Linked DNA regions of Saccharomyces cerevisiae S288C. The main gene of each other region encodes a partner of the protein of the gene in region 2 in a complex. Each region holds a gene or a part of one and is shown on either strand. Other genes may lie near its edges.

Region 1 (3,536 bases), 760 kb from region 2:
ATGGAAGATACCTCGAGGTGCATCGATGATGTACTGAAAATAGGACAACAGGAGAAGGAAATAAGACAGGCAGAGTTTTCTGACGCACAAGGGGAGAGAGAGGAGGTTAAGTGTATTGATTACACAGTAGATTTGGAAGCAGGTCTTCCGCGCCACGAGAGTAGTGGAAAAAGTAATACCCTCAAACAGTGTTATAACGCCGTTCTAGGGTTTCTCGAGGAACTCATCATCGTCATTATTATTGTGTTGCTGTTGTACAGTTTGACAATGGTAGGTCTTTTTTATGTGATGACGATGACGAAGTTTTTGTTTTAATAATAAGAATAATGGGATTTGTTTTCTTTCAAGATTTTTCTTTTGGATAGTACATGCCTTCAGAAATTAAGCAGGGAGGCAAAAGATAATATTTTCTCATATGCATTTATAGCCGAGCCTTTTTTCTTCGCAGTATGCGTTTGTTTTATAGTAATTTAATGATTTTTATGTTTTTGAACACCGCAGTCAAGAAAACAGTAGGAAAAAAACTGCGGGCGTCTTTCATACTGCCTTTAGTAGTAAGTGTAATTTTACAATCTATACGTACCGATATATATACATATATTAATGCATGCATGTATATGTATAAGCGTTGCTTTTATTTCAGTTTTTTCGTTAATATTAGATCTCGCGGGCATTTTCAGATGTAAGCATGGCTGCATACTTGTTTCTCTTTTCTGAATCCTCCTTTAAAAGCTGCAGTATTTGATCAGTTATTTTCTCAATAATGCTGTAAGCCTCGTGACAACATTTCATTAGCGTCAACGCATCCATTGGTAAACCACCCGCTTTGGAAACTTGTACCACTTCACGGTTTTTGTTTAGCGTAACCGTCAATACACCATCTCGCAGTAGTTCCTCTTTCAATGTTGCATCAATGATGGAAATTTCTGAGTTAGTCTCACCTTTTATGTTTTCCTCGGTGTCTTGAGGATTGAAGAAAGAAAAAGTTACACATATTGGAATATGCAGTATACCTAGTGGAACTGGCTCTCTTTCATTAACAGGATGAACAATGATCTGCTCGCCATGGACAGTTATATCTGGTTTCTTAAAATGCATCAATCCTGCCATGACGGCAATACACGAAGCGTCAATAAATCCACCATCACAATCCAGGAAATGTACATCAGCTCTCACAGCCCAGCATTTACTGCCAGCAACGATACATAGTCCTTCCACGTCCAATGCGCCCGACCGCCTAACAGATTTTTCAATTATTCTTGAACATAAAACTTCATCTTCCCCCGTGATATTTCCATTTTCAAATTGAGAACCAGCCATAGGAGATATTTCTGTAGATATTACAAATAATCCTTCAAATGGCCTGTCTTCGTATGGTTGTGCTATTTGACAACTAATCCTGCAGTGAACTTTGGTGTTGCCCATTTTTACGCTAACATCACCAAATTCTTTACCAAACGTTATTTCCACGTCACGAAATTGATCAAAGGAGCGGCCGTCCAACCTATAATTCTGTCTCAGTGCTTCTAAGATAAATTTTGACTCGGATGCGGATATCTCAATGTCTTTGGCCATTTGTCTTTTAATCTAATGTATATTCTGAACAATTTTGCAATCACTACGTCCTGTTGATTAATGTATCGAGACTGAAAGTTAGGAAGTTAGAAAAAAAACTTGAAAGTTGGTAAGGTAAATACAATCTAGCAACCGTTTCCTATTCCTTTATATTCAGACATTTGTTAACATCATCGAGGGAAAAGTTGTTAATTTTTTCTTGAATTCGAGAAAGGAAAAAAAAGGTAGCCCATTCGTTGGTAGTGACAATATTGTGTAATTATCTCGCACTGAGGTCATCACCACCGAGTTATAGCATTCAAATTGCTGTTTAATTATGATACTAGCTACTTACGTTTAAAAAATCCATCAATGGCCCCTTTTCCTATGGCTACTTTTGGTTTTTTATTTTGAACTATTTTTTTGGTAACTTTTTTCACTGGCAATGAAACCCTGCCATTCGAATTTAGGCCTACATTCATGGCACTTTTCATCAGTAATTCTCTTTCAGCATTCTGTAATTCGTTCGTAGTCTCGTAGTTTTCGAGTTCTATGAAGCTAGCTTTTATATCCGGATTTAGGCAACCACTATCCATTGTAGGTGAAAAGGTAAGTAAATTATGGTAGGCCGCCCTTGGAATCAGGGAAACTAAAAGATTTGTAGCCATAACTACCTTGTAGCACTGTTTTATTTCCGTTGGGGCATTTTTAAGTGTAGGGATACTTGGAGGAAAGTTTTCTACAATTTTTGATACCTTGCCTAACAAAAATTGTGTTATCATTGCAGATGTGATCTTGTAATAGACGTCACCAGCTTCCTCAATGGTTTCACTAACTTTTGCTAAGCCACTCTTGAGACGACTTAAAGAAATGTTTTCCCAATTCTTGTCATGGTTATCCGTTAAGAAATCATGGTAATCACGCACCGTAAGAAATTTCTCATTGGTTTTGCTGTTGCTTTTTTGGTTTTCACCAGTATCACTTGAATTGGAGTAATCTTGTTCATCTGCTGAAACACTGTTTCTATAGTAAAATCCAATCAAACTAAAAGCAATATCGTATAAAGAACAAAAGTGTATTTTGCTTGAGTTAAAAACATAACCATCGGTGGGATCAGACGTATTTACAATGAAAGTTGATTTGATCGGGTGATTTTCCTTAGTATAGTGATATTTATCATTTGCCAAATCTTCCTCATGTGAATACGAGGGCCCTTTGCCGAATTGAAAAGATCTTATTTCGTAAAGTTTTCCATTAATATTTTCGAAGAGCTCGATACGAGGTTTGGATGTAATATTGGAAGGTGGCGGCAGTGTAAAAGTGTTTATAGTTTTCGAAGTTTCATAATCGTCTGGTAAAATTATTAGTCGTTCTTCCCCCCCAATGTTGGAAACGGTCATGCTTTTTGTTCGAGAGGCCAGAAAAGAAAGTCAACTATTGCGACAGAATAAGATTAAATTTGTACTCGATTTGTTTCTGCTGTTGTACCAGAATCATTAACCAGATCTGACTTTAATTCTCATCGCGCTCGTGCTTTTGACAAACTTGTGAGAATGGAGTCTGTAGTGCCTTAAAAGGAAAAAAACGCGTTGTGGTTATGAATATGAGATTTCATAATCCAACTATGGCATCGACAACATTGAAAAGATAATGAGCTGGAAGTTGCTCCATTTTTTACCTTTTGAAATTTCTTCTTATATGTATATGCTCACTTTACTGACTAGTAAAATGTCGTGAAAATTTTTAGAGTTCCATTTTGGCTCAAGACAATGGCGCTACGAAGAAACGCCATACTTAAATTCCCCTCATGAACTTAGAAATTCACGAAAGAAGCTGAATCTTTACAGAATAAATTTGTAGAAGAATTTTTCTGTTCTTTTATGCTTTATTCGTTGCTGCTGTTGATAATCAGCGATAGCTGAATTTATTGAATAGAGAGGCCGGGAAACTTCGTGCTACTGTAGAACTGAGATATAGAATAC
Region 2 (3,140 bases):
AAACCTGGGAGGTATTTGTAGGTTATGTGATGTTTTAGGTGTGGGACTGCTTACTGTACAAGACATCAAAGTCAAAAACCATCCTCAATTTAAAAATGTTGCTGTGACTGCTGATAGATGGATGCCCATGGAGGAAGTTGCCCTAGATGAGATTGCAAGTTTCATGAAAGAGAAAAAGAAGGAAGGGTACACATTAATTGGGCTAGAGCAAACGGATAAATCAGTGAAGCTAGACAACAATTTCCAATTCCCTAAAAAATCATTGATCTTGCTAGGAACCGAAGCATTCGGTATTCCGGGGACTTTGTTAAGCGAATTGGATTTATGTTTAGAGATTCAACAATTTGGTGTGATCAGATCAATGAATATTCAAACGGCAACCGCAGTTATCGTTCATTCCTATACAGTTCAACACATGTAAGAATCAGGTTTCATTCCCACTTTTGTTAACCATGAAGTTTTTAGTATGTAAACTAATTTGTCTTTTTATCTAATTGTGACTATATTTTTATAAATTCTCCAGTGATCGTACTACGTCGGGGGCGTATTTCTCCACCATTGCAAGACCTTGCTTCAACAAATGAGGTTTAAAGCTTTTAACGTTTGAATCATTCAATGCTACTGATCTGATAGGTGATGTAATCTTACCATTAGACCAGGAAATGATTAGGCCATTATTGGCCACTTCGCTTTCGTTGGCTGCAGGGTCCAATAGCATATTGTTGCCTACAACGGCCAATATAAACACTAAAGGCGGATTAATGTCAAGCTTAACCATGTCGTAATCATGAAACGTAGGAAGTTCTTCCACCTCTAAGTCGTCAAAAGCTGAAATAAGTTTCGGTAGGTATGTGGAGTTCAACGCTGAATAAATAGCAAAGGATATTAAAGAAACTGGGTGTGAATGTGATGAAATGACCAGAACATCGACAAATATTTTGAAGCTGTACTTTTTTGTCAATTGCAACTTTGAGGAATCTACTCCGCTACCAGACTTCAAAACCTTGTTCAGTAAAGAAGTGATTGTCTCTACTACCAGCGCGTCATCTCTTTGGCCTGCGATATCTACATCGACCTGAAGTAGTTCATTCTCCACATGATGATCCACAACTTTGGACTTAATGCTCACGATACATTCACTTCCATCACTAGCTATAATTCTGGACGATCCATTGGAACTTGGTAGGAAGTCAGTAAATATTTCTATAGGTCTGAATTGATGAGGTAGTCTTCCATCGGGCCTAATTGAAGGCGTGCTTGCTAGTGAATCGTATAGGTACGACTTTTCGGCGACCGAAAGAGACATAAATGATTATTTCAACAGAATCTCAAACTGTCGTTGTGCTAGTCAAAAAGAATGCCTTTTGCCGTCTACAGACTATTAGTATCATTGTACTCCTTCACCATATAAGCTCTACGTTTCTTTTTTCTGAATATTAGAAAAAAATTTCGCCAACTAGGGTTCAAAATAATAGACTAGGGCACGGAAGAAAAGCACACCCTAGGGCTTTCGGAGATAAATTATTAATAGCGAGTTTTTTTTGTATTTACTTATTTTATTATTTCTTTAAGATATCTAGTAGTAAGGATAGAACGGGTAGATAGAATAGACAAATGGAGTTATTGAAATATTTATACGAAGAGATAGAACAGAGAGACAAAGAGTATGACGTGAAAATGATGCGCAGTAAAACTAAATCCCGTCTCTTAAATGAATATGCTGTTTGGTGTCACGACGTCCACATTTGAATTGTCCATGTCAACGTCAGGGCCCTTGTTGGTGTTGTCCTTTGCCTCTACCTCGTGCTTACTCTTGCCATGGCCCGTCTTTCTATATACCGTTTCTTGCTCCAATGCGTCCACTCTCTCATTGTAATTGTTTAGCACAATTTCGTTCTCCCTGACAGAGTCCTTGTACAGCGCCAGGTCTCCCGAATCAATGTTCTCCAAGTCGTCGCTGTCGTCAGCTTCAAGACGGTCGTCAGCACCCTCCAACTTAGCTATGTATTTACCCAAGCGGGCGTTAGACCTCTGCAAATGATTGATACTGTTCTCAATTTCTGTTTTAATCTGTGCCAACTCCATGTCGGACATGCCGCTTATCGCCGTCTTAAATTCTTCGATCTGGATTGGTCTTCTGATACCGCCTGCTGAGCACATTATGTTACTTGTAGTAGTTATTATGTTTTGATTTGCTTTATGTTTTATAAAGATCTTACCCCTCTTTTTGTCAAGAGAAATAAGCTTCTGAAGTATTGTTTTCCTGGTGAAAAGTGTCTTATTTATATGGAGAAGGGATATTCGGCCTCGGTTTTAGGGGAGGAGCTGAAGAGTTGTCCCGCTCGAAAAAGACCCGTAAGCGCATTTATCGAACTACGAAGTAAAATGGACTTTCGTAGGTGTGGACAATAGTAAATTGCAAGTCAATCCCGGGATGACGTCAAGATAGACAGTCAATCTGTCACAGAGGAATGCTTGCTAATCCAGGAGCTGGCGAGCTGGCTAGCTGTGGAGACTATTCCACCATGGTACACACTAGGATCCTCGATCTTGGTGAGCCATGAGTAGAACTTGTTTGGTTCCACCCCTCCGGTTGCCATGTTTATATCTTCCTCAGCAAACTGTTTATCTTGCATTGGTGAGGCGATTGGGTCATCTCTTTGGAAATGGGCGGTAACAAGGTGGTCAACCACCGGCCAGCCGTAAGCGTTGGAAAACCTTCTTCTTACGATGATGTTATTGTGGGCATCTGGTTTCAGCAATACCACGACTTTCCTCCAATGCATCCCCTTGTGCCAGCGGCGTGCTATGATTTCCTCCATCTCTTTTCTCGTCTTCCTCGTTTCGCCTTCCTTGGCTGCTGTTCCTTCATAAAGTGTTGGTGATGGAGGCGGTAAATTCTTTTCTGTGTAGATCTTATCATGTATGATTGTTGCGACCCTTGCATCGGGATCTGAGAAGAACTTTGCGTCGGGGCATGGTGATAGAAGCACAGACTTCATAGATTTGATGACGGAAGCATTCATCAAGCGTTTAGATTTCTTGTCGCAGTTATTTTCCTTGCTCTTCCAAAACGTGTTCCATGACGATGCATTGATTCCATCATCATCATTAGCAACATCGCTATGATTTGGAAGTTC
Region 3 (3,118 bases), on a different chromosome or scaffold from region 2:
CGATTTTTTTTTTTGGTAGGATCAGGCGAGGTTGAACATCTCCCACGTTTCTCATTTCTTGGCTATTAAGGAGCCAAGAAATGAGAAAAGGCGAAAAAAAAAAAAAAAAAAGAAAAAAAAAAGTGTAAGTATGCCACATCTAAGAAGGGTGGCTACCACAAGGGTGCAGAGATTGCAGCAGTCCTTGCTTTCTTCAATTTTACTACTTCTTGTTACTCCTAGTCCGTGTGCTTGCGCAGATGTAAGTTGTGTTGAAACAACAAGCAGATGTAGTGGTCCCTGACGCTGGTTCCATCGGAAGATCCGATTCATTGTTTCCTTCTCTCCCTTCCCCGCTGACTGAGCGGAAAAAAAGATAAAAAAAAGAAGAAAAACCGGTGCGGGGCAGCAGGCAACTAAGAAAAACCGGAAAAAGGGTTGGCGTCAGATCGCTAGCAACGAGATTCCTCTTTTTTTTTCGATTTTTTGTTATTAGAGGAAGACGGCGCGACTGAGTCAGGCCGTAATCGGAATGGAAAACCGGGCGGCTACCGATCTTTGTCAGTGAAGAATATAAGATATGATGATTTCGTATATGTATATGAGTGTGTACATGTGACAAAAAAGATTGGAAACTTTAGTACATCCGCAAATAATGGATGGCAGTTTCATACCCCCAGAAACTCACAAAAGTGGTGGGTATTGTCTTGGAAAGGGCCACCAGAATACCTCTGTAAAGCGAACTCACACCTTCTTGTTTCAAAATCTGTAAACCGATTCTTGCGAATCCGTACCCTTTATAAGAACCGTATACAGACGAATGACGGGAGAACTTTTCCAGATGCTTCGAATTCATGAACTGCATTCGCCTACGGATCGTTTCGAGGGGGAAAGTAATGATCTTAGCAATGACGCCGCCAATGGTACCAGCGCTGTGATTTAAAGTAGCCAGTTCCCATTTTTTATGCGCGGCGGTCGTTTTTTCGTTTTCGTCACAGTATATCCTGATTGTTTCGTATGTTCCGAACATTATAGATGCGGTTAGAGTTATGGTTGTCATTGACGCGATGGAGCCCTTGAAAAATCCGGGGAGACCTTCTAGTTTCCAGATATCACGCACTTCTCTCGTGATGCTCATTGAGTGCATCTGGTTGTTGGCAACTAGTCGGGTCCGTAAAACATCGAACGGGTAGGAAACGATGGAACTGGTTATGCCAGCAAAGGCTCCGACAACAAGACTATGTAAGCGCGCCTCTAGTCCAAATGGAGTTAAATATCTATTAAAAAGGGAGTATGAACTAAACTGCGCTGAGCCATAGGTAACGTACAGCAAAGAACCGGGTATGTTACCCTTCCAAAAGGACCGGATGCCTTCGTTCTTTATCATGCTTCTGGCCACCTCCATGACCTGACTTCCGAAGGGCTTCAGCCCATTTGCAGGGGTCAATTGCAATCTGATCTTAATGGTATCCATGGGAGCAGTTATGCTACGGGCAAGCAGCCCGGATACGGCGCCAGCCAACAAAGTTTTCCACGCGGCCACATTTTGCCCTTTTCTTAACGAGTCCTCCTCTTTGAACATATCAACATTTATGTACTTTGAATGGTTTATATAAAGCTCCAGACTATGCCAAGTTAAAGGTGACAAAATAGCGCCTTTTCTTCATAAAGACTATTATGTACCTCTCTTTTTCTTTTTACTACTTTTTTTTTCCTTTTAAGCGCATCGGATTGTGGAAAAAAGAGTGGAAAATTTGTTAGATGAACCAGTTAAGATGCATAAAATATCTCTGCATATATGGTAATAACAAGGAGCCCAATACCAAGAATAGATTAGATTCTGCTGAAAAAAAAAAAAAAATGAGCGTCCAAGCAGAAATAGGGATATTAGATCATGTAGATGGTTCATCTGAATTCGTATCACAAGACACCAAGGTTATTTGTTCTGTAACAGGCCCTATTGAACCAAAAGCAAGACAAGAACTGCCTACACAATTAGCATTAGAAATTATTGTACGTCCCGCGAAAGGGGTGGCCACAACAAGAGAGAAGGTACTCGAAGATAAATTACGGGCAGTTCTGACCCCACTCATCACTCGTCATTGTTACCCAAGACAGCTCTGCCAGATAACTTGTCAAATTCTGGAATCTGGTGAAGATGAAGCCGAATTCTCCCTGAGAGAGCTAAGTTGTTGTATAAATGCGGCATTTTTGGCTTTAGTTGATGCAGGAATTGCCTTAAATAGTATGTGCGCAAGCATCCCTATTGCAATAATCAAAGACACTAGTGATATCATTGTCGATCCCACTGCCGAGCAATTGAAGATTTCGCTCTCTGTCCACACTTTAGCTCTGGAGTTCGTCAATGGCGGTAAAGTCGTGAAAAACGTTTTATTGTTAGACAGCAATGGTGATTTTAATGAAGATCAATTGTTCAGTTTACTGGAGCTGGGTGAGCAAAAGTGTCAAGAACTTGTCACAAATATAAGAAGAATAATACAGGACAATATATCACCTCGTCTAGTTGTATAGCCATTATAGATTATAATATACCACAACATGCTATGTCGTATGCCGGAGACTACCTCTTATATTTGGAAATAGTTATTATTCAATGTTCTAAAATTCTTAACATTTTCGTTGTTACATATACATAGCATATATATATATATATATTACATTAATTTTTATCTACCTTCAATCTACAATTTCAAACGCTTCAAGTTTTCAATAGTAGCTTCCAAACCTTCGATTTCGGCAACAGTGTTATCCAGCTTGCTTTTATTGGCTTCCTTGGCCTGTGTATTAGCCTTTGTTTCGTAATCCTTACTGTTAATGGTTTGTTCAATACCGTTCTTGGATTTTTTAGCCTTTTCAAGTTTCTTTTGAACTTTCGCAATTTCAGCATCAATATCAACGTGTCCCTTGACGAGAAGATGTACATTGACTTCTGGGTTAACAGATTGCAATACGCAACCTTCTGGAATTTCGGAAGCATCACGAACAACAGTGACTTCGTCGATGGCCTTGATCAACGAGACAATAGAATCTTTCTGATCTTCAGCAGTTTTGAAGTATTCCTCGTGGTTAGATTCAACGAAAACCTTACCATTCTTCAAAATATTGTACTCAGATAACA

Evidence for each region.
Region 1: RRP42 (region 2) and RRP45 share a complex: the UniProt entries of both Saccharomyces cerevisiae proteins name them as parts of the RNA exosome complex.
Region 3: RRP42 (region 2) and RRP46 share a complex: the UniProt entries of both Saccharomyces cerevisiae proteins name them as parts of the RNA exosome complex.

Annotation. Positions count from the first base shown.
Region 1 is NC_001136.10:1,018,786-1,022,321, reverse strand, and holds RRP45 (exosome non-catalytic core subunit RRP45), read right to left. Parts: upstream 1,576-3,536; coding exon 658-1,575; downstream 1-657. Other genes in the region: PHM6 (Phm6p), read left to right, coding at 1-315; RNH202 (Rnh202p), read right to left, coding at 1,902-2,954. UniProt on the Saccharomyces cerevisiae protein: Non-catalytic component of the RNA exosome complex which has 3'->5' exoribonuclease activity and participates in a multitude of cellular RNA processing and degradation events.
Region 2 is NC_001136.10:262,805-265,944, forward strand, and holds RRP42 (exosome non-catalytic core subunit RRP42), read right to left. Parts: upstream 1,307-3,140; coding exon 509-1,306; downstream 1-508. Other genes in the region: TRM3 (tRNA (guanosine(18)-2'-O)-methyltransferase), read left to right, coding at 1-421; TMA17 (Tma17p), read right to left, coding at 1,708-2,160; YDL109C (putative lipase), read right to left, coding at 2,454-3,140. UniProt on the Saccharomyces cerevisiae protein: Non-catalytic component of the RNA exosome complex which has 3'->5' exoribonuclease activity and participates in a multitude of cellular RNA processing and degradation events.
Region 3 is NC_001139.9:675,064-678,181, reverse strand, and holds RRP46 (exosome non-catalytic core subunit RRP46), read left to right. Parts: upstream 1-1,839; coding exon 1,840-2,511; downstream 2,512-3,118. Other genes in the region: thiamine transporter TPC1, read right to left, coding at 617-1,561; VAS1 (valine--tRNA ligase), read right to left, coding at 2,682-3,118. UniProt on the Saccharomyces cerevisiae protein: Non-catalytic component of the RNA exosome complex which has 3'->5' exoribonuclease activity and participates in a multitude of cellular RNA processing and degradation events.